2 linked regions of the Drosophila melanogaster genome follow. The protein of the gene in region 2 purifies or fractionates together with the protein of the main gene of each other region. This does not show direct contact. Each region holds a gene or a part of one and is shown on either strand. Other genes may lie near its edges.

What was found. Proteins that work in one complex are often made in the same cells at the same time.
Region 1: the proteins of Tab2 (region 2) and trbd purify together in Drosophila melanogaster (affinity purification with western blotting, with the first as the bait; one study listed by BioGRID). This does not show direct contact.

The regions. Positions count from the first base shown.
Region 1 is NT_033777.3:9,706,108-9,716,151, reverse strand, and holds the start of trbd (trabid), read left to right. Parts: upstream 1-5,114; 5' UTR 5,115-5,671; intron 5,672-6,603; 5' UTR 6,604-6,636; coding exon 6,637-6,764; intron 6,765-6,827; coding exon 6,828-7,416; intron 7,417-7,476; coding exon 7,477-7,684; intron 7,685-7,740; coding exon 7,741-8,467; intron 8,468-8,532; coding exon 8,533-8,777; intron 8,778-8,833; coding exon 8,834-9,045; intron 9,046-9,111; coding exon 9,112-9,260; intron 9,261-9,325; coding exon 9,326-9,404; 3' UTR 9,405-10,044. Other genes in the region: hyd (hyperplastic discs), read left to right, coding at 1-161, 222-428, 484-631, 698-928, 988-1,200; dmt (dalmatian), read right to left, coding at 2,025-2,285, 2,571-4,402, 4,462-4,942. UniProt on the Drosophila melanogaster protein: Positive regulator of the Wnt signaling pathway. Specifically cleaves 'Lys-63'-linked ubiquitin chains. May act by deubiquitinating APC protein, a negative regulator of Wnt-mediated transcription.
Region 2 is NT_033778.4:19,287,196-19,298,083, reverse strand, and holds the start of Tab2 (TAK1-associated binding protein 2), read right to left. Parts: upstream 5,556-10,888; 5' UTR 5,224-5,555; intron 1-5,223. Other genes in the region: mip40 (Myb-interacting protein 40), read left to right, coding at 5,987-6,790; Fkbp12 (FK506-binding protein 12kD), read right to left, coding at 7,348-7,566, 7,628-7,698, 7,859-7,895; AANATL4 (arylalkylamine N-acetyltransferase-like 4), read right to left, coding at 8,284-8,958; AANATL6 (arylalkylamine N-acetyltransferase-like 6), read right to left, coding at 9,433-10,101.

The sequences.
Region 1 (10,044 bases), on a different chromosome or scaffold from region 2:
CAAAGTAGTCAACCAAAAAAATCACCATCTGTCGTGGTAGTGGATCCCGTTGATGATGATAATGAACCATTATTTTACTCACCGGGAAAGCGGGGCTTTTACACACCACGCCAAGGCTTTGCATCATTCGAGCGCATTAATGCATTTAGAAATATTGGAAGGTAAGCTAAGTGCTCCCTTATTCGATTCACTGCTTTAACGCCGCCTATCTCTTTTCTCAGACTTATTGGACTTTGTCTACTGCAAAACGAATTGCTTCCACTGTTCCTACAAAGACATGTACTAAAATACATTCTTGGGCGTAAAATTAAGTTCCACGACTTGGCATTTTTCGATCCAGCATTGTACGAATCTTTTAGACAAATTATTCAAAATGCCCAAACAAAGGAAGGCGAGGAAACTATAAATCGTATGGAGCTATGCTTTGTGTAAGTAATCCCACCTTACTTGATAGTTTAGGCTCTAAATAACCTGCCATTTCAGTATCGATTTGATGAAGGAGGAGGGCTGTGGTAACAGAGAGCTTATCCCAGGAGGGCGCGATGTCGCTGTCACATCGAGTAATATATTCGAGTACGTCAGACGCTATACAGAATATAGACTAATCAAATCCCAAGAAAAGGCACTGGAGGTATGGGCAAATATTGCGTAAAAATGTATAGCCTTATTACAACAAAATATTGTCTACCATTCACAGGCACTGAAGGACGGAGTTTTTGACGTTTTGCCCGATAACAGCATGATTAACTTAACCGCTGAGGACTTGCGTCTGCTGCTAAACGGTGTTGGTGATATAAATGTTTCGACACTAATTTCATACACTACCTTTAACGACGAATCTAGCGAGGGTCCTGATAAACTTTTAAAATTTAAGAAATGGTTTTGGAGTATTGTGGAGAAAATGAACATTATGGAACGCCAGGATTTGGTAAGAAGAAAGATGGTCCAATGAGCTTCAAACATTCATAACAAACACAATTCTTGCAGGTTTACTTCTGGACCGGCTCTCCTGCGCTTCCAGCTTCGGAGGAGGGATTCCAACCATTGCCATCTGTCACCATAAGACCTGCGGATGACTCCCATCTACCGACTGCGAATACTTGTATCTCTCGGCTGTATATCCCTCTTTACTCCAGCAAATCTATTTTACGCAGTAAAATGCTGATGGCCATTAAATCCAAAAATTTTGGATTTGTATAAGCGATTGGAAGTCTTTCCCATCTGTATAAGCTTCAAATTCATTTCTTAATTAACTTTAGTTTTTTTTTGAGTTTCGACTTTCGTCATATTTAACCATACCATTCCCATTTCGGATTATATATTGTTTAAAATTTATTCGAATTTGAACAATTTGTACGTAACATTATTGAACAAGATTGGCTCGGGTCATGACGGTCTTGCTTGACCCAACGTGTAGTAAAAATATGAAACTCCCCAACATCCATTGTAACCAATAAAACGGCCAATTAGGTAATAGGAAGCCTATGTTTTAATTATTAAACTTTTAAATAAAATATGTTTTCTAAAGTATGACTTATGCACATGTATATTTATCGATATCGATTCAATAGAAATTTGAAGAAAAAACCAATAAAAATAAGTCCACCTTATGGAAATTATGTATGATATAAAATTGACTTCTATTTCATTTGGAAAAATTTTCCCTTGGACTAACAAATAGTTCAATTCACAAAGATTAAGATTTTTCATTTATTTAGTTTAGTCATAATGATAGGCTATAATACCGAAACATCAAAGCTGTACATAATCCAAGCTTTTGATAATAAAAATACATGCTTAGCTTAACCTAGAATTGCATAAAGTGCACTGCAAGCACTTGGTTAGTTACATTAGACTGTTGTCCTTATAAATATTCGAGGAAACGCAATCTTCCTAAATACATTTATACACAAAACAATAAGGTACCACAAATAACTCATAAAAACGAAGCACATTAAATTAAAAACGACTACTTCCCCTTATCAGCGACACAAAAAAATATAAATAATAAACAGGCAATGCGATTATTCAATGATCACTGGGAACTTCTCCACTTCCTCGCATTGCTTGTTGAAACTGGTGACGAACTGCTCCAATTTAGCCTCATGCTCGATGTCTCTGCGTGGCCGTTTAACGTGATGCCGCTTCTTCTCCGGAGAATCCAAGCTCTTGTCGTGCGAGTCCTGCTCGTCCTCGTCCTCACTTTCACTTTCGATGTACAATATCTGCACTCGCTTCTTTCGCTTACGTTGCGGACGCTCCTTCACATAGGTTCGTCTGGGTTGCTAGAACAGGTTGAATTTTTAAAACAATTAGGCGCCGTTTGCCAAAATAAAAGATTTCAAATGTTGTATACAAAACTACAGACTTACGACTAAAATTTTTATTTGTGTGAGCGGCTTACTACCGATCAAAGAAAGACTTAAATCTTTGCGGCCCTGTTTGCTCAACTAAAACGTTAACGTCTCAGTTTTAAGTTAATCTAGCGTTATGAGGTCAGTGTCTACACTCACTGTTTACAGTGTCGACGCTTTCCCAACGCTTGGACGAACCCATTACATAAATCCTACCTTATCGGCAAATGATTGCTCCGGCTCGTCCTGGTCAACCCTAAACAATCCCATCGATTCCCTAGCAGTGGGTGCAGCAGGTTTCCGTTTCGCCGGTCGGGGCGGCGCAATCATAGTGGAGCACAACATATATCTGATGTCGGTTTGCTTCGAATGTGATTCGCCCAGGCAATCGGAACGAATAGAGGTATATGATACTTGTGGAAGCTCACCATCTCTGGGTCGCAGCTCCGCAAGACGATGGAGCTTATCATGCAGATTTACATTTTGACTCAGCCCCGTGAAATTGGCTGGCGAATCTTGGCTTTCGGTGATAAATTCATCGAATCCAAAGAGGTTTTGTGAAGATGATGTTCGTTCTTCCGTATTCGTTTCCTTTTCTTTTGGTATATTTTCACAGGGCAATATTTCGTTGCATCCGAAAGTATTTACTTCCGTTTGATTACGATTAGCTAAAGCAGGAGTCACTTCTCTGTTTAAGGACATACTGGTAGGAGCGATACCTTTTGAGGGAGTAGTTGACTTTCTAGGTATATCTTCACATGCAAAATCATCATCGAAACCAAAAAGATTCGACCGCGTTTGACTGCGTTGCGCTGGGGATGACGTCGCCATTGGACGAGGTGCCACTCTGGTAGGAGTGATTTCTTTTGAAACAGTGGCCGTCACGTTCTTCTTCCAAGACGGCAGTGTCACTACTTCTAGTATGTTAATATCCTTAAAGGGCGTTCGTTTCTGCAGCGTTCTCCGAGGATTCGGCAGGTGCACAAAGTTCTCCGCATTCTCTTCGCTTTCCTGGTCATTGATCGACATCGATTTGCTAATTGTGGGAGGGGGACGGTTCTCCTCATTCGAGTCGTTCGCATTTGAGTCATGATTTTGCTCGTGCAAAGGCGGACAAATGGATTCCTCGTGAGGGATGTTCTCAGCATGCTCTACCGGCGAATCTGGCACATAGACATGCCGACGTTGCACATGATCACTGGAGTACGATGGCATCTGGGAGTTGTTGAAACCAAACATGAAAGTATTGGGCAATGGTGAATCGTCGGAAACGCGCCAGGGGGATTTGCCTCCCGCGGTCCTAACTGCATTTGGAGACTGGTGGGCAATAGGCGACAATGCAGTGGTGGTGGCACTAACATCTGTCACCGGAGGAGCTCTGCGATTCAGCGGCGTGCTAACCAATTGTCGCGCCATGTTGATAAGTTCTCGACGTCTGTCTGTAGATGGCAGTGGATTTTGCGCCTGGGTCTGGTTAAGCATTACGGATCGGGCCAAATTACTGTAGGCTCCTTCGTGCGCTTGCTTAGAAGTGCTCGGCTCCACATGTACCTGGACGGGCACTTCGATGGGCTGCACGTATCCGTGCTCCGAATCGTTGCTATAATCTTCCTCGGGCTCGAAAATGGTCGATAAGGAGCGTGATGGCTTTTGAAGGCGCGGTTCTATGGACTTGGGAACGACCTTGACTGGCTCAGGCTCATTGTCTTTTGTCGAAACCTTTCTTCGATTACCCACAGGTCGGACCTTCTTTGCTGTTCTTTTGGCTCTCGGTTTGCCGATTTTTCTTGACCGCACCATTACGCAGGCCTTTCCATCCTTAACCAAACGCTGAATTATGTCTGCCGCCGGATCCTCCCTGTCACTGTCATCTTCGATCTGCGACTGCGACAGAAAATCGAAAACGTTGCGGGTCACCGATGATCGTGTCCTGGTTAAAGGCTGATCTCTGTGGAAGAAACGAGGTGGTTTTTTGGGCGAAATCTCAGCTGCCGGTCCACTAGGGCTTTTACTCCTTATGCGTTGCTGACATGGCGATGTTTCGGGACCTGCAAGTAGTTGTGCTTATCAAGAAAAGTCCATCATCCGCCTGGTGAGAGCCTCTTACCTGCCACATTTTCCTTGATATTTTGGGGTTGCGTTGATTTCTGTACCTTCGAAGGAATGTACATCGTCGAGTTGCGAGCCGGCTCAAAAGTGCTGGCATCCACATCAGGCGCATCATTTCGAGAAATTTCGGATACGACACCGTTTTTTACCTTAATGCGCCTTATTTTTACCACGCATTTTCTTATGCGACACTCTGGCTCGTTTAGGGCTGTCAAAGATTGTTTGTTTGATAGTTTCGTGGGACGCCCGGGTTTTCGTATTATCGTGGTCAAATCAGCTCCGAGTTTCTTGGGACGCCCGGGTTTACGTATTGTGGTCAAATCAGCTCCGATGGACAGCTTCTTGGGACGCCCGGGTTTGCTTATCGTTGTGCTTAAGTCAGCTCCGATGGACTGTTTCTTGGGACGCCCGGGATTGCGTCTCGTTGCGGTGTTCACATCTGGCGACGGAACACACGGCACCGGCCGTGTTCTTACCATTTTAAGAATATAATTTGTTTACCAAATGAAATTCATGTACAGCTCCCGCCATTTTATTTACTAGTATGACCATCCCCCGATCTCTAAGACTTGCCATGAAAACCACTGAACACCAGTAGGTGTGAAGCTTGACTAACCAGCTAACCGAGACACTTTTCAACACTGAGCGCCAGGGACGGAGCACCGATAGTTGTCGATAGGCGGACAGAGAACCAGATGATTGGCCTCGCAATAATGTAAAAAATAAATAATTAGCTGTTTCCAAATAATCCAAATTCCAAATTCCTTGCACTACGATCCACCGTGCGTGTGTTCGTCGCCGTGAATGTGTGCGGGCAGTTTCGTTTCACGCGCCCCAAGCAAGTACAGCTGAAAATTGAGAAGGAAAGCAAGAAAGAAAACCCCCCAAACTGAAAATCGAGTGAAAGTTTTCTCATCGTCTTTGTTTTGTAATTGTGATTTTCCTGCCTGCTGCCAGCGCTCATTACTGGCAATATTGGATCGACGTCGACATAGTGTCGCTGCTGCGGGCGCGGGTGGCCGACGGCGACTATAGCAACTACACCTTATAGCTACTATAATACTAATGCTATACTCGCGGTCCCTATTGTGATTGTGTTATATATTTAAATCGACTCGATTCGAATCGAATCCAATCGCTGTCGTGGTCGCAGTCGCATTCGCGTTTTCTGGGACTGCTGCAAAAGGCCTTGCGATTTTCTGCGCCAGGTACTGTGTAAAGACGTCGATGTGGGAAGGGGGGTGGAGGCGGTTGTGGGATGGTTGGGATGGCACGGGGCGAATCCCAATAAGAAACTAGCGCGAAAACTGGCATACCAGCGTACATACATACGTACGTACATCGCACGCGACACATGCCATACATACATAGGCGAATTATAATGGCAACAAATAAATGCAACCGACCCAGCAGTTGAACCACTACCACCTATACCACCACTACTACCAAAACCAGACCCTATCCAATTCATTCCAATCCAATCCCAGGCAACGAGAACCCGAAGGCTGACTGTGACGCCAGTGGGGGAAATGGAAATGGAGCCAAGGCAGATGTACATATCTGTGGATGTATCTGCGAATTATGTCTCAGGGTCAAGGACACTGCTTCTGCCTCGCTAACCGTTGTTTGACCTTATTAACGAGTCGGAAGTGGTGGATTCGCCGCTCACCGACTTTAGGGATACCCTTTCGGTTCGCTTATCCAAAGAATAGTAGCTTAGTAGATACATTCATTGGTAGATAGTTGTCCCCCAAAACGAGTCATGCATATAGTCTTTATACTTTGCAAAATAAGTCAAGGTAAATTGAAATGTCCTCCAAATTGTAGATTTCCCTGCGTACTTATAAATCCAATATTAGTTTTTAGATAATCTTTTTCTTTTGAATGCAACATCTCATTAACTTCCGACAAAAGTCAACATAGCTATACATTATTGATCAAACTCTTCGTATCTTCAACCAACTTCGACTAAAATGATTGTCTAAGCTTACAATTGTTCAGAAATTAAACTATTTTGAAGTAAAAAAGGCAGCCAGGTGGATTTGACTAGTAAAAGCATATTTTATGGGATCCCCTTACTTGGTGACACTCGTGTATCCCATATCAAATATTCAACGTATGATCCCTTTCTCCTTGGCAGATCAACTGCATTGGCCGGCTCCGCGCATAAACAATGTGCGATACCAAAGACGATGCGCAGAAATGGAAATGTGAAACTTGCACCTACGAGAACTACCCATCCTCGCTGAAATGCACCATGTGCCAGGCGTCCAAGCCGCTGCTCAACGAGGACATCTTCCGGTATGACAACTCTGACGATCTATACCTAATCTTCTGCTAATTAATACTTGCTAATTCTTGCAGTCTGAGTCCAGCCCAGGAGAGCTGCACCGTTGCGGAGGAGGCGGCTGCCGTCGAAGTAGCCGTAATGTCGCCCACACCTTCGTCCACGTGCTACTCGCTCCAGCCGCAGAGCCAGGCACGGCAGAGCAACGTGGCGGACAGCGAAAAGTGGCCCTGCAAGGTGTGCACCTATCTCAATTGGCCGCGGAGCCTGCGCTGCGTTCAGTGCTGCACGAAGCGCGGTGGCGAGGCGATAGAGCGTGGCAAAAAGGACATGGATAACGAGGCGGACGGGGATCGTGCAGGAGAGGCGCTGCAAGCCCTTCGCATCAGCGGCTCGGAGGAGAACCTGGCCAATAAGCCGGTTCAGCTCATCGGCGCCACGGCCTCCCATCGTTTGAGCCTTAGTCGTGGCATAGACGATGCGACCCATCTGAACAATCTCGCCAATGCGTCTCACAACCAGTCGCAGTCCCAGCACCGGCAGCCTGTCCTACAGCAGCAGATGCAGCTCCAGCTGCAGCCGCAGCAACAGCGGGAATCCTCATCCTCCGCCGCCGTCCCGCCGCAGCAGCAGAAGCAGTGCTATGTCTCCAAATGGGCGTGTAACGTAGGTTTTCATATCCCAACCAATTCGCTCAGATGTACTTAAAGTTAGAATTTTCCTTAGTCTTGCACTTACGAAAACTGGCCGAGGAGCATCAAGTGCTCCATGTGCGGCAAGACGAGGGAGCGGGAGATTAGTGGGTCGCAGAACGACTTGCACGCCTCATCCAGCCTAAACAGTCAGGAGGAGAATCAGCAACAACTGCAGCAGCCAAACGTGGATACCGTCAGCGTCAATAACTCGTTCAATAAGAAGCACATTTACCAACTGGGTAAGAGTTTTTAATGTGATTTCTCTGGGTATGACTAATTGATATTCACTTTCCAGGTTCTTCGGAAACCATCAACAACTGTGATACGCTGCAAGAGCGTCAGGAGCGCCGCCAGCGTCAAATCCGACGACAGGTGGACTGGCAGTGGCTGAATGCGTGCCTGGGCGTCGTGGAGAACAACTACAGCGCTGTGGAGGCGTACCTCTCCTGCGGTGGCAATCCAGCCCGTTCGTTGACCAGCACCGAGATTGCCGCCCTCAACCGCAACTCGGCCTTCGACGTGGGCCACACCCTGATCCACCTGGCCATTCGTTTTCATCGCGAGGAGATGTTACCGATGCTGCTGGACCAGATCTCCGGTTCGGGGCCGGGCATCAAGCGTGTGCCGTCCTACGTGGCTCCCGACTTGGCGGCCGATATCCGGCGCCACTTTGCCAATACCCTGCGCTTGCGCAAGTCCGGTCTACCCTGCCACTATGTGCAAAAGCACGCCACCTTCGCCCTCCCCGCCGAGATTGAGGAGCTGCCGATACCCATACAGGAGCAGCTCTACGATGAGCTGCTCGACCGCGACGCGCAGAAACAGCTGGAGACGCCGCCGCCGGCCTTGAATTGGTCGCTGGAGATCACTGCTCGCCTGAGCTCACGGATGTTTGTACTGTGGAACCGCAGTGCTGGCGACTGCCTGCTGGACTCGGCCATGCAGGCCACCTGGGGCGTCTTCGATCGTGACAATATCCTTAGGCGGGCACTCGCCGACACACTGCACCAGTGCGGGCATGTGTAAGTTAAACGAATTTGTTTTAACAACCGTCAGCTTATTAATAGTCTTGATACTCTTATTGTAGGTTCTTTACTCGCTGGAAAGAGTACGAGATGCTGCAGGCTTCGATGCTCCACTTTACGCTGGAGGACTCTCAGTTCGAGGAGGACTGGAGTACACTACTGTCATTGGCCGGCCAACCCGGCTCGTCCCTGGAGCAACTGCACATCTTTGCGCTGGCGCATATCCTTCGTCGGCCGATTATCGTTTACGGCGTGAAGTACGTCAAGAGTTTTCGGGGCGAGGACATTGGATACGCGCGTTTCGAAGGTAGCTATTAATTTTTACGTCGCTGTATTGCATTTATTTGATTGCCTTATTTCTAGGTGTCTACTTGCCTTTGTTCTGGGATCAAAACTTTTGCACCAAGTCACCGATAGCACTGGGCTACACACGTGGCCATTTCAGCGCCCTGGTGCCGATGGAGCCATTCACTCGCATCGATGGGCGGCGTGACGATGTGGAGGACGTAACCTATCTCCCGCTAATGGACTGCGAGCTGAAACTTTTGCCCATACATTTCCTTACACAGTCGGAGGTGAGAGCTTATTCAAATATCCTGTAGAACATTGTGAGCTTAGACATTTCCGTTCCTTGCCTGCAGGTTGGCAACGAGGAGTCAATGATGCGTCAATGGCTGGACGTGTGCGTAACTGATGGAGGCCTACTGGTGGCGCAACAAAAGCTAAGCAAGCGTCCCTTGCTGGTCGCCCAGATGCTGGAAGAGTGGCTAAATCACTACCGCCGCATTGCGTAAATATGACTTGCTCTCCTTCCGGACATAGACATGCTAATTAAACCTGTAAACTTTCTTTCAGACAAGTGATAACGGCGCCTTTCATTCGTCGCCCTCAAATCACACATTACTCCAGTGATGGCGACTCGGATGAGGAGTAGAGGATATGATGCGGCACATCCGTCACCCAGCTTCTGATTAGGATGCTGTGCATAGAATTCAATATCCTTATTTTGTACTTTTGGCGATCGTTAGCAGATTTTTGAGACAGGAATAACAAGTGCAGATCCTACACTCTTGCACTCGCAGCTAGCTAAAGGAAACTATAGAGAATACATATGCATATATGCAAGCAGTTGAAAGTTGTAGTTGTAACTAAATTGAAAGCAAACTAAAGGTTAAGTAGCAACGTACGAAAATAGATTGATCGACGTATGTATATCATATCCGTTCCCAAGTCAACGTTCGTTGATTTTAGTCAAATTTATTCACACTGGGTCGTCGAGGCAATATAGACCACATTTACTACGAAATTGAAGCTATACACTGGTAGATTTAATTACACTCACATGTGAAACAATCCATTAAATGATTACGTGTACGAAAGGCAGATGCGAATTTAAGCGGTGGAATTTGTACACCTATGTACGCGGTAGTTAATGTGAATACCCAAGCTCCGGACTTAAAATATTGCAAATCTCAATGTACTATTAAATTTTAAATGGGTGGCGAACACACAACATAATTATGCAGCGGGTGAAAATGAAAGCGTCATTGAAATGTTTATTGATAGTTTTTAAA
Region 2 (10,888 bases):
TTGTAGAAATTCGAACTAAAACACAGAGTTAACAATAAACACACAATAAAAAACAAAACATTCCGTTGCGAAGTTTGTGAAGTTCACAATGGGAATACTTGAATAAAATGGCGCATATCAAGCATACGCAATGTGGAACAAGTAGGTTGTTACGCTGGGAAATTCGCAATAAATGTGAGAAAAATAATAGATCCCGTAACGAATCAATTAAATCATTCAATATTTTTGCCACACCAATACCACTTTGTAACAGAAATTTGGATCTTTCTCTTAGCCGCTCTCTTTTATAAAAATAAATTTTTGTGTGGGTGTTTTTCACACCAACACTACGAAGCTAAGAAAATTGAATGAAATATTCGAAAAAAGGCAACAACAACAAGAAGCATGTACATATAAAACAAAACAAAAAAAAAAACGCAAAAAAATCAAGGCACAAAATTAATGATATGCTTGCTAAGGTGAAAGAGTTGAAGACGCAGGAAATTAATATTAAAAAGCGAAAACCCATCAAATGGGATAAGCATTTAATTGCTGTCCATCAACGACCAAATGAAAAGCGCCTAAATTAGTTAGCGGCTTAGCCAAGTATTAGAACCGCCCTCGCAGTCCCACTTTTATACTAACAAAATAAATAAAAACAAATAATAAACCGAAGCAAAACCATGTCAGCGAGACAAAATCTATACAAGAAATGTATAATTCATTCAAATATAAGCCACTAAATTAGCGGCGATGGCGCCTTAAAATTGGCCAGCAAAACATAAATAATAAATTATAATTGTCTATGTATATGTTTCACACTTTCCAGTTGCTGTTTATTTTAAAATCAAAGCCAAGCGGTTTTCGCTTGCGATAACAACATTTTCAAGTTGCTAAGGAAATTAAGAAGCCATTAAAGATAAACCCCAGAATATGATGAAAACAATTCTTCTTGTCTTCTGTATTTTTTTTTATTTTTTTTTTTCTCGCTAGTTCCATAAAATTCCAACATCATTTTGTGGGGTACTTATAAACGGATGAGCGGAACACGTAAATTGCGATCTGATATTTGAAAATATTTAGACAATTTCTCCTTTTTTTTTGGTGCCAAGGGGTCGATGGGAAGGCAATGAAAATTCGTTTTCTGTGCTCTTTAGATTGCTACGTTTTGTTTGCCAGCTTCGTCTGCCTTTCGGTTTTCCCCCTCGCTTTTCTTTTTTCCTTATAGCGGGTGGCAGACAAACAACAACAAGCATGGGGCGATCGACTGCAGACGTAAACGACCTTCACAATTAGCCAGATATATGCAGGGCAGATAGGAGAGATAGAGATACAAAGATACACACATACAGACGCGTTGCCCAGAATGCACAAGCCAGAAAATCGGAAATCGACGTCAAATATTTCGCAGGCCATAGTGTATATAAGAAATTGAGAGTACTCGTGTGGAATGATAATACTGTGCATACAAATGTATCTTCCTTCATATTCAAAGTACAGTGCGGTTCGCATCTGCAAGGATACTATCCAGATATCTGAACAAATGGGTTATTCTCAACAGGACTATTAATAAAATCACTTACCATTATTTTGTGAATAATGGTATAATTGCCCATAGTGAAGGAACTTTCTTATAAATTACTTTTATAGATGTACAAATATCAAAGGAACTACTATATCTTTTATGTTTGCAAACTGTGTATTTATGATGCATTCGATTTTAGGAAACACTTACATTTTCGCTACGCACTGTTTGCACAATATATGTATGTACTTATGGTACAGGTAAAAGATCATTTGTATTATTCTATACTTCGGTTTTTTATTTCATTCTGCCTTTTCGAGGACACGCAAAACAAACTTAAAACAAGCTAAGAGCAACAAAGACATGAAAAAAAAAATAAATAAAAGTTCGCACTGTGTGCCAAAAGCATACAAAATAAAAAAAGTTTACAAAGTCATTAAAATTATGGCAGCTCACGATTGTTTAGGTATTTTGGATTGTGAGGGCGTGAAATTTTCGGTGGGTGTGCGCACTACGGGAAAACTCTTGTAATTAGTTGAGCAAAATTTCCATTCATTAAAATGCCTTTGTAAAAATCATGGTGGCACGTGTTCTTCTGCCGATTTACATGAAATTGTCTTATGGGAATTTCCAATGATTTGATTACATTTCGGTACACAGATGCCAACAAACGAAAAGGCATCAAAATGTTGTTAATAGAATTAATTTTGTACTCTGTTATTTTCGAAATATTTAAAATATCTACCAAACCAGTTTTATCCTGAAATAGTGGCAGTTTTAAGACTTTTCAACTAATGCCAAAGCTAGCTTTTAATGGTTTCTATCAAATCTATTACTTTTGATTGATTTACAGCGAAACGAACGTGTAATCGCTCTGTCCATCAACCCAATAAGTCTGTTAATATCTTGGCTGGACTGGGGAATTACCATGCCGCCTTGGCGCCCTCGAAGACTTTGAGGTATCGATGCATATTGACCGGAAATCTCTCTGTCTGGCATGTCAAAAAATAAACATATATAAATAACAAAAAATCGCCAAAAATATGCTTGAATACAAAAATAATTGCGAAAGGAACTACGTACTAGATGGCGTCCCTCCCGCACCTTCAACTTGGTTTTGAAACACAAAACATATGGACAGACGAAAAGAACGGGAAAGGGAATGCGAAGGGAATAAACGAAGGAAAGAGGCAGCAGTAAATAACATGGAAAACAACTTTCACTTTGTCGCAAAAAAAAAAAAAAAAAAAAAACGAGTCGGAAATTAAATAAAAAAGAGATAGAGCAACGAAAAGTATGTGAATTGTGAAAATTATAAATCAAATGCAGAGACATGAAATGGAATGGAAGCAGCCACACAAAATACCAAAAGACGAAAAATGGAACGAAAATAATTTTATTTTGTATTTCGCTGCTCGCTCGCCGATTTTCTTTTGCTTTTCTTGCCTCGCCAATAATTTGAAGAGGCGTTTTGCGGAATTTTCTGCAGACGTCAGGCCTTGACGTCATTGCCGAATTCTAGAATTGAATATGGGCATGGGAATCAAACTCGGAGGGGCAATGGAACTTAGCGATCGCTATGGAAAATCAAAGTGGAACACCTCGCCTGTCTCCTCTGAAATAATAACTAATACACGGTATTCATTTATCGATGTTGGAGGCTTGTGATGAACCCTCCAATCGCCGCAATTTGCCTTTTCAAATTTGTGAAAATAATCGAAGCGGAGTTATTTTTAGTCGATGTCCAAATCCAACCAGGTGTGCTGCGGTTGCCCACGTTATCGCGCGACATTTGTGTCTCTTCGCAACAGGGGACATACATATGTACACACACATATACTATATATTTTCCTGAACTCGTCCCTTCCCGAAGCTAAATATCAACAAAATTGCTGGCGATAAGATAGATTTAAATTGATGGGAAAGTTTTCATTGAGATCGCAGGAATACACCGTACAGTAGTTACTCAAGTAGGTTAAACACTTAGATGTAAGATTCTTAAGTTTTGCTGATACAGTATTTGAATAGAAGGACCAACGTTATGAAAATGAGTCTATACGTATTAATCTATTATGTCAGAAGAGCGTTTCAGCTCTGTCATATCAGCATGACATTCAAAAAAGCTGTACTCTGTGCATGGAGTAAGGCAGTTATTAATGCGTGGAATAAGCACACAATCGAACGTGATTTACATAAACAAAAGGATTTATTTAGTTTCACCCATATAAACAAAAGGATTTCTAAGTCAGCTTTTAAGTTTCATTTGATTTGCATATTTGGTACATAAAAACTCAATTTTTCAAACGAAATTTTGTGGAACTCCAACAATTTTTTCTTTAAAACATACATAGTTGCTCACTATCTTGAGAATTTAAAATTTATAAAGTAATTAAATTTTTAGTTCGTGATAAACATACATAAATTAGAAGTCGCTTTAAACGTCATTTAAATCGCGTTTTAATTTATGACGTCTTTTGGAGACTTGTATTTATTAATATATTGCGAGATAAAGGGTAATTTTGGTGTTATAGCTGAAAATATTTAACAGCCTTGTCGCTCAAAAGCAGAGTTAACGCTTAAATACGGAAGAAGAATTCAGATAATCACAAACAGATGAGGGTTTCTCTCTCTGCTTTATATTTGCACTCTCAACTGCTGAAATGCCGGGAAATTCCCGCAATTACAAGAAAACCGCCACATAAACAAAGTCACAAAACGAAACAGCAACAATGATCAACACTTAAAAAAATAAATAAAATGTTTCTTGTTTGTTTTACCAAAACTTTTTATTTCCGAAAGTTACAAAACTAAGCTGCTAGTATAAATATTATAAAAGTTTCACAATTGGCAATATAATGCGGTAATGCGGAGCTCTTGAATAAAACTTGCGTTTTTCTTACAGTGCATAACAAGTGCAAAAACTTGTGAACTTGTTTTCTTAATACGAAACCAAACCGAAGCAAAAACAACGTACAGAGAGCGCTTATTGTTATTGATAGTGGGAGAAAATCTAAAAGCACACATAGCAAATCAATATTTGCACTTTGCGATTAGAAGCGCTTGGAGGGGGTTGAGTGGGCGGTGGGTGGGTGGTGGTCGGGGGATGTACCCGAACGATTCGTTTACATATTTCGAAAAGACGGCCATTTCGAGGGAGTTTCAGCCGTTATCAATAGGCGGAAATACGTATACGCATGTACGAATGGGTAATACAGTTACGTGCAGTCTTGCACAGACACACGAACACCAATGTGCAGTGCGAGTGCGAAAGAGACACGTAATGGCTGTGTTAACGGCACAAGATAAAAACCAGCTACAGCCAGCGTGGGTGCGAGCGAGAGGGAGGGAGAGAGCGCAAGAGAGAGAGAGAGAGAGAGCAAAAAACAGGTGACATTGGCAGCTACGCAATAGTAGATAAAAAATATCCATACATATATAAAAACAACCGAGATCGATTGAAAATGTGAAACGTTGGGAAACTTGGTATGGCCCCTCCCCCTTAAAAAACGCATTCACAACTTGTTGCCCGTTTGGAAATGTGTTTATTTATTGCTTTTATTTGGTGCACTAGGTGATCTGCATGTGTGCGAGTTGTTTTTCACAATTTGTTATTTGCACACAGAGCAGATCCACCCACACCTGTGCACTTCCCAATTGTATGTGGATGTGTGCGTGAGCAGAAGAAGCAAAATCCACAGATTTACAATTTGCATCCTTACCGAATAAGTTAAATTCTTGACTTTTCCAATGTTCCTTTGTTGCTCCGCTCTTTTTGTCGTTTGTTCTTTGACATTCAAATTGTGATTTCGATATTTTGGTGCTTTTCAATCTGAATCTTTTCCACTTTTGCCCCTTCGATTTCCTCGTTGGCTTTGTTTTCGTTTTTCTTTTCTCACACACTCACAACTACACACACAGTTCACGCAAAAGCTCCGCTTTGTTTTAATTTAGTTATTTATTTTATTTTTCGCAGTAAACTTAATTAAATGTATTTTTCACGTCGCTCTTTTCGCGATCACAAAACAGCAGTGTGACCATAAAAGGTGGGTTGAAAAGCCCGAAAGGTTTTGGGTTAAAATTACCAAATCGAGAAATACCAAATTTTTAAGACTTTCATTTCCTTGTTTTTTTTTTTTTAATCTACAAAAGTATTAATTTAACAATCAAAGTCTATTAAATATTTTTGAATAGTCAAATATTAATGTGTATTAAGTTTTTGTTTAAAAATATATATGTTATTCTTTTTTCTTTTCATTTAAGCTACAAATAATTCAAAGAATTATTTCTCAAGCTAGCGTTAGGCGCCAAGACCGTTTGTTTTCTTTAATTTATGGTATTTTTTGAAATACCACTGACTTATGTAGTGTTGCGTGGCGAAGTGGTGTTTCAGTGTTGTGAAGCGCCGTAAGTCCGTTTGATTTCCGATTCGGCATTCGAAATTGTTTTCCCTTAATTTTCGTGTCGAATACAAGATTTCTGGAAATGAAGACTGTGCCGAAAAAGAAGGAAACGGCCCTGCGCTTGCGGGAGTCGCGCCGTGAGGAGCAGAAACCAGAGACGACAAACCTGCCGCCGGACGACGACGCAGAGTCGGATTTGCCCATTCGGGGCCGTCCCTCGAAGAAGCTGCTCATCCAGCAGCAACAGCAGCGTCAGTACCAGGTAAAGCTAGATCCGAAAGTCAAGACGGTCACGTCGGGCTCTAGCGAGAAGCCTTCGACATCCTCGAGTGCAGCCGCAGCCGGCGCCGGAGGACGCATCAAGGCCAGGAGAGTGCTCTACAAGAAGAGCGTTGGAGCAGCGGCAGTCGCCCAGAAGGCGCCCGGCGAGACCTACGTAATGCGCCTGTTTGAGCGAAGTTTGGACCTGTCCAAATACCAGGATAAGACTCCTTTGTACCCCATATGCCGCGCATGGATGGCAAATCAACCCAAGAATCCAGCTGTGGGTGCATTTCAAACAGATGCTTCACTCACGGCCACCAAACGTGAGGACAACGGCGAAGAAATCCTGTCCCAAATTAAAAGCGGCGAGATAAAGGTGATCAACCAGCTCCCGCAGGCCAAGTCCACGGATCTGCCCATAATTCCGCCTCGTCTGGAGTTCAGCCAGGAGGACAAGAAGCGGGAAAAGGCTCTCCAAGGTGCCAGTACCTCCGATCTTCTGTCCTCCAATATGAACCGCTGGAAGAAAGTGCGCGGACACTGGATAAAGCATATCAAGAAGTATGAAAAGGAGCGATATGAAGTTATTGACAAGATTATGAGCTTGGTCTGCAAAAACTGAAGCGTATCTAGGTGATTTTGGAAGTGGTATAGAAAATGAAAAATAATTTGGATTAATTGTGCACAAAGAATTAAAAAAAATCCTGTTTCCAAATCGAATATATATGCAAATAAGATGCTTGTACACTTTATATACTTATATAAAATAAAATCAAATTTGTCAAGTAGACCACTTCAAGTCTATCAAGAGAATGATAAAGCGTTTTTATATTTGCATATTTTCCTGATTAAAAAATAATATGAAATGCATTTGTATTGCAGCACGGAAAGGCAACCGCAGCTGATTTGATTGGATTATCCCAAGATTTTTGATAAGAAAGACATTTGTCATTGACTTGAATAAATGTTTATTTGTATTGGTAGAAGATGCGTTCCCTTTGCGGTTAAATTAGTTCTAGTTTAGAGCTGTGTATGAAGTTATCATTATTATTTTGGGTTGGCAAATGCTGCTGGATTGTTCTGGTTCCGATTATGATGTTCTTCGGCTCGTCGCCGGTGCGCCGGTCCGCAACCCCCTGCGATTTGGTTTGGGGTATACACATTGGGCATCCTGTGCGCCTATTCGACCTTGAGCAGCTCGACGTCGAAGGTGAGGGTGGAGTTGGGCGGAATGACGCCGGGGTGGCCACGGCTACCGTAGGCATAGTCCGGCGAGCAAATCAGCTTGGCGCGCTGGCCGACGCTCAACTGGGCAACTCCCTCATCCCAGCCACGGATGACCTCGCCCTTGCCGATGGTGAACTTGAATGGCTTGTTGCGGTCGCGCGACGAATCGAACTGCGTGGAATTCAAGGCGGATCATTAGCTGGGGATGGCGAGGATCGGGATTCGTACTCACCTTGGTGCCATCGTCCAGGGTGCCGGTGTAGTGGACCGTGACCTTTTGGCCATTCTTGGGATAGGTGCTGCCTGCGGGCGGGGAATGCAAAAATGGATGTGTGTGAGCGGGACGACCATATTGTCGCAGGTATTTCCGAATTGTGCATTGCGAAAATGCACTAAATAGGTTAGAAAGGCCGGTAGTTTACGGCATTTCTTGCGGATTCTAACCCAATCATTGGATACTCACCATCACCAGGAGCAATTGGAACTACTTGTACGCCCATTTCGATTAGTTTTTTTCTGGCAAATTACCGAGCGGAAAATAAGCACGTTGATTTCAGTTCGTCGCGTCGCCGAATGACAGCTAGCGGTGGGCGATGGTCGGTGAGCGGAAACTATCGCACACATCAATTTGATTAATTATCAAAACCAATTGCTTTCCGAGTTATCGATAAGGACGTTTTTGTATTTTGGCGCGTCCGTTTGAATTGTTTACTATGAACCGAAAGAATAAAGCAGTGCAAGATCTTGCCTCTTATCTTAAAGTCCGAGACACATTGGTCATTGGTCAACTTGTATAGGTCCCCCAAAAGTGTGCTAAGTATTAAATAAACATAACTATAGTTATATAATTTATTTAAATTCCTCGACTCAGTTATTTGTTATCAACTGTCACAGTTTGATTGCCATCACTCGCAGCTTTGTGTGTGGGGCTGCCGGTGTGAAGATCACTCGTCCTTCATCGTCCTTATAGTCGGCGTAGTCGATGGAATAGATGCACTCCATGCCCAAGGCCCCCTTCTGGCGAGCGGAGTAGAAGCTAGTGCAGAAGGCCATCATAAGGGGGAAACCATTCGATCGGCCCAGCTCCATCAGGGTGGCGGCCAGGCGGGAGCCCAGGCCCTTGCCCCTCTTCCACGAGGCCACGCTGGTCACGTGGGAGTAGAGCGCCTTCGGGATGTCGTAGCGCTCAAACAGATTGACTTCGCGCTTGGCCTTCATTAGTAAATGATACATTCGACCCCAAGCGTTATCCTCCACATTCTCGAGCTTCAAATTCAATGTTCCTGCATTCACATTATCGGGATAACTGGCACATGCCAGAACTAGACCCACAATCCGGCCACCATCGTTTTCATCCAGTGCCAAAAGGCTGGTGCCCTCGGCGATTATCGACTGGTTGAAGGCGTCGTTGATCTCCTCGTTCTGCTGGTGAACGGGTTCGCCGCTGGACTGGCACAGAGGCTCCGATGTGTAGTACTCAGCCTCCATATAGGCTTTTACCTGTGCATAATCCTCTGGGCGCATGATGCGTATCGTGACGCCATCTATTGTCGTGGGAGTCATCGCGATCCGGAGCTAATTCGTTCTATATGCTTTTCTTAAGACAGAAGAGGACGCCGATGTGTACATGGCTTTTATACTTCGGCGCTTATCACTGATAATGGCTTATCATATTTATAGATTGTTTCTGTTTGGCGAAGAGAAAGTTGTTTCCAACGGCTTTTGGTTTTATTTTTAATGAAGTGCCAGACTGACTTATCCTTTTAGTAATAAACATTTTTCGAATATGGTTTTCTGACCCAAAATCTTTGAGGATAAATACATCGAGTGGAAAGTGATTACTTAATATCAGATTTTGTAATTATTGCAAGGTCATGTGTCGATAAATACATAATCAACACAATATCTGAACAATAAAGTAGACCGTTCTACATTTTATTACTTTATTTGATCCATATGGACTTGCGTTTCCAGCTCGACGACCTTTATCAATTGCCAAGGCCAAAGTAATAATTAATTAATAAATTATTTTAATTTTTACATTTTTGAGGCCAAGACCCGAATGTGGGTATGGGGCGCTGGTGGATTATATATCGGCCGACCCAACTCGTCCTTGTAGTCAGCATAGGCCACCGAATGGATGCACTCACATCCCGCTTTCATCGCCGACCGGGAGGAGTAGTGATTGGTTCCGCTGGTGATGAACAGAGTGTGTCCCCGCAGGCGACCCAATTTAAAGAGACATTTGGAAAGTATGACCAAGATACCTCTTTGCCTCATTGAGGGGTGAACGGAGATGACCAGCAGACTCAGGTAGGAGGAGACTCCGAAGCGTTCGAAAATGTTGGCTTCGCGCTCCACTTTGGCTATAAATTTCCTGCTGCGACCCAAAGCATTTGGCTCCATTTCCTCGGCTTCCTTGTGCTGCTTGGCCATTTCGATGGGATCCATCGTCTCCGCCACGGCAATGCCAACCAGTAGTCCCCCGTTGTTATCGTCCAGTGCCACTATGGATAGTCCCTGCCTGATCACCGCCAGGTATTGCCTATCCACTTCCTCCTCATGCTGCAGGTGAATGGGCTCCTCGAGACCCATTCCCATGGGCTCGTCGTAGTGAAAGTAGTCCGTCATGAAGGTTTTCACTCTTGGATAGTCGTCCTCCTTCATAACTCGTACGGTTATGCCATCATTTTGACTAAGAATCATGTTGGACTGAGCAGCGATGTTTGGTTTCCCGGCTTGGTATACTATGGTTCATTCTACATGACTGCAGGAGCCTTTTAAAGAAACCGAACTGAGTTATCTACAAATACAAGTTCAAGAACTTCCATTGTTTGCTATATTCAAGGTGGTGCTCAAATAAGATAATACGTTGCATTTCCAAAAAAATGAACATGTTGGTATTAATCTTTTAATCTACCGATAGGTCTAATCTACAATAAGATACAGTTTCTTTAAGAGGAAGAGGAAAAAATTAAAGCAAGAGGTAATCACAATTCTTCTGCATCAGCAAAATGCAGTATTCATGAAGAATCTTACGTGCTTTCGGATTCGATTCGTGCCTGTCCGGATGACAGGATGGCGCGTTCTTCTGATCCATTGTCCATCCAGAAAATCTCCTCGTCTGTCCAATTCCGCATAATTTCAGATGGAGCGAGCACGTTTGCTTCTGCAAATGGCCAGATGTTGTTAACTATTGGCAGCAGCGATACTGTGTTTCCCTGTCCAGAACTCGATACGTTTGGATATATTTGAGAAATTTTCAAACATCTTCATAATAACCTGTCAAACAAAAGAGAATATCAGCATAACTGGCACGTGGTTTTAATAATGCCTAAAATTGGTTTGCCAATTTGATAATGATAACATTTTTCGAGCATAACTTTTCTTATTTTATTAGCATTCGCATTCAATTAACATATAAATTAACATATTAAATACAGAATTGCTTTAAAGGTTATTCCATTATCATACATCAGTAAGAAATCTATAG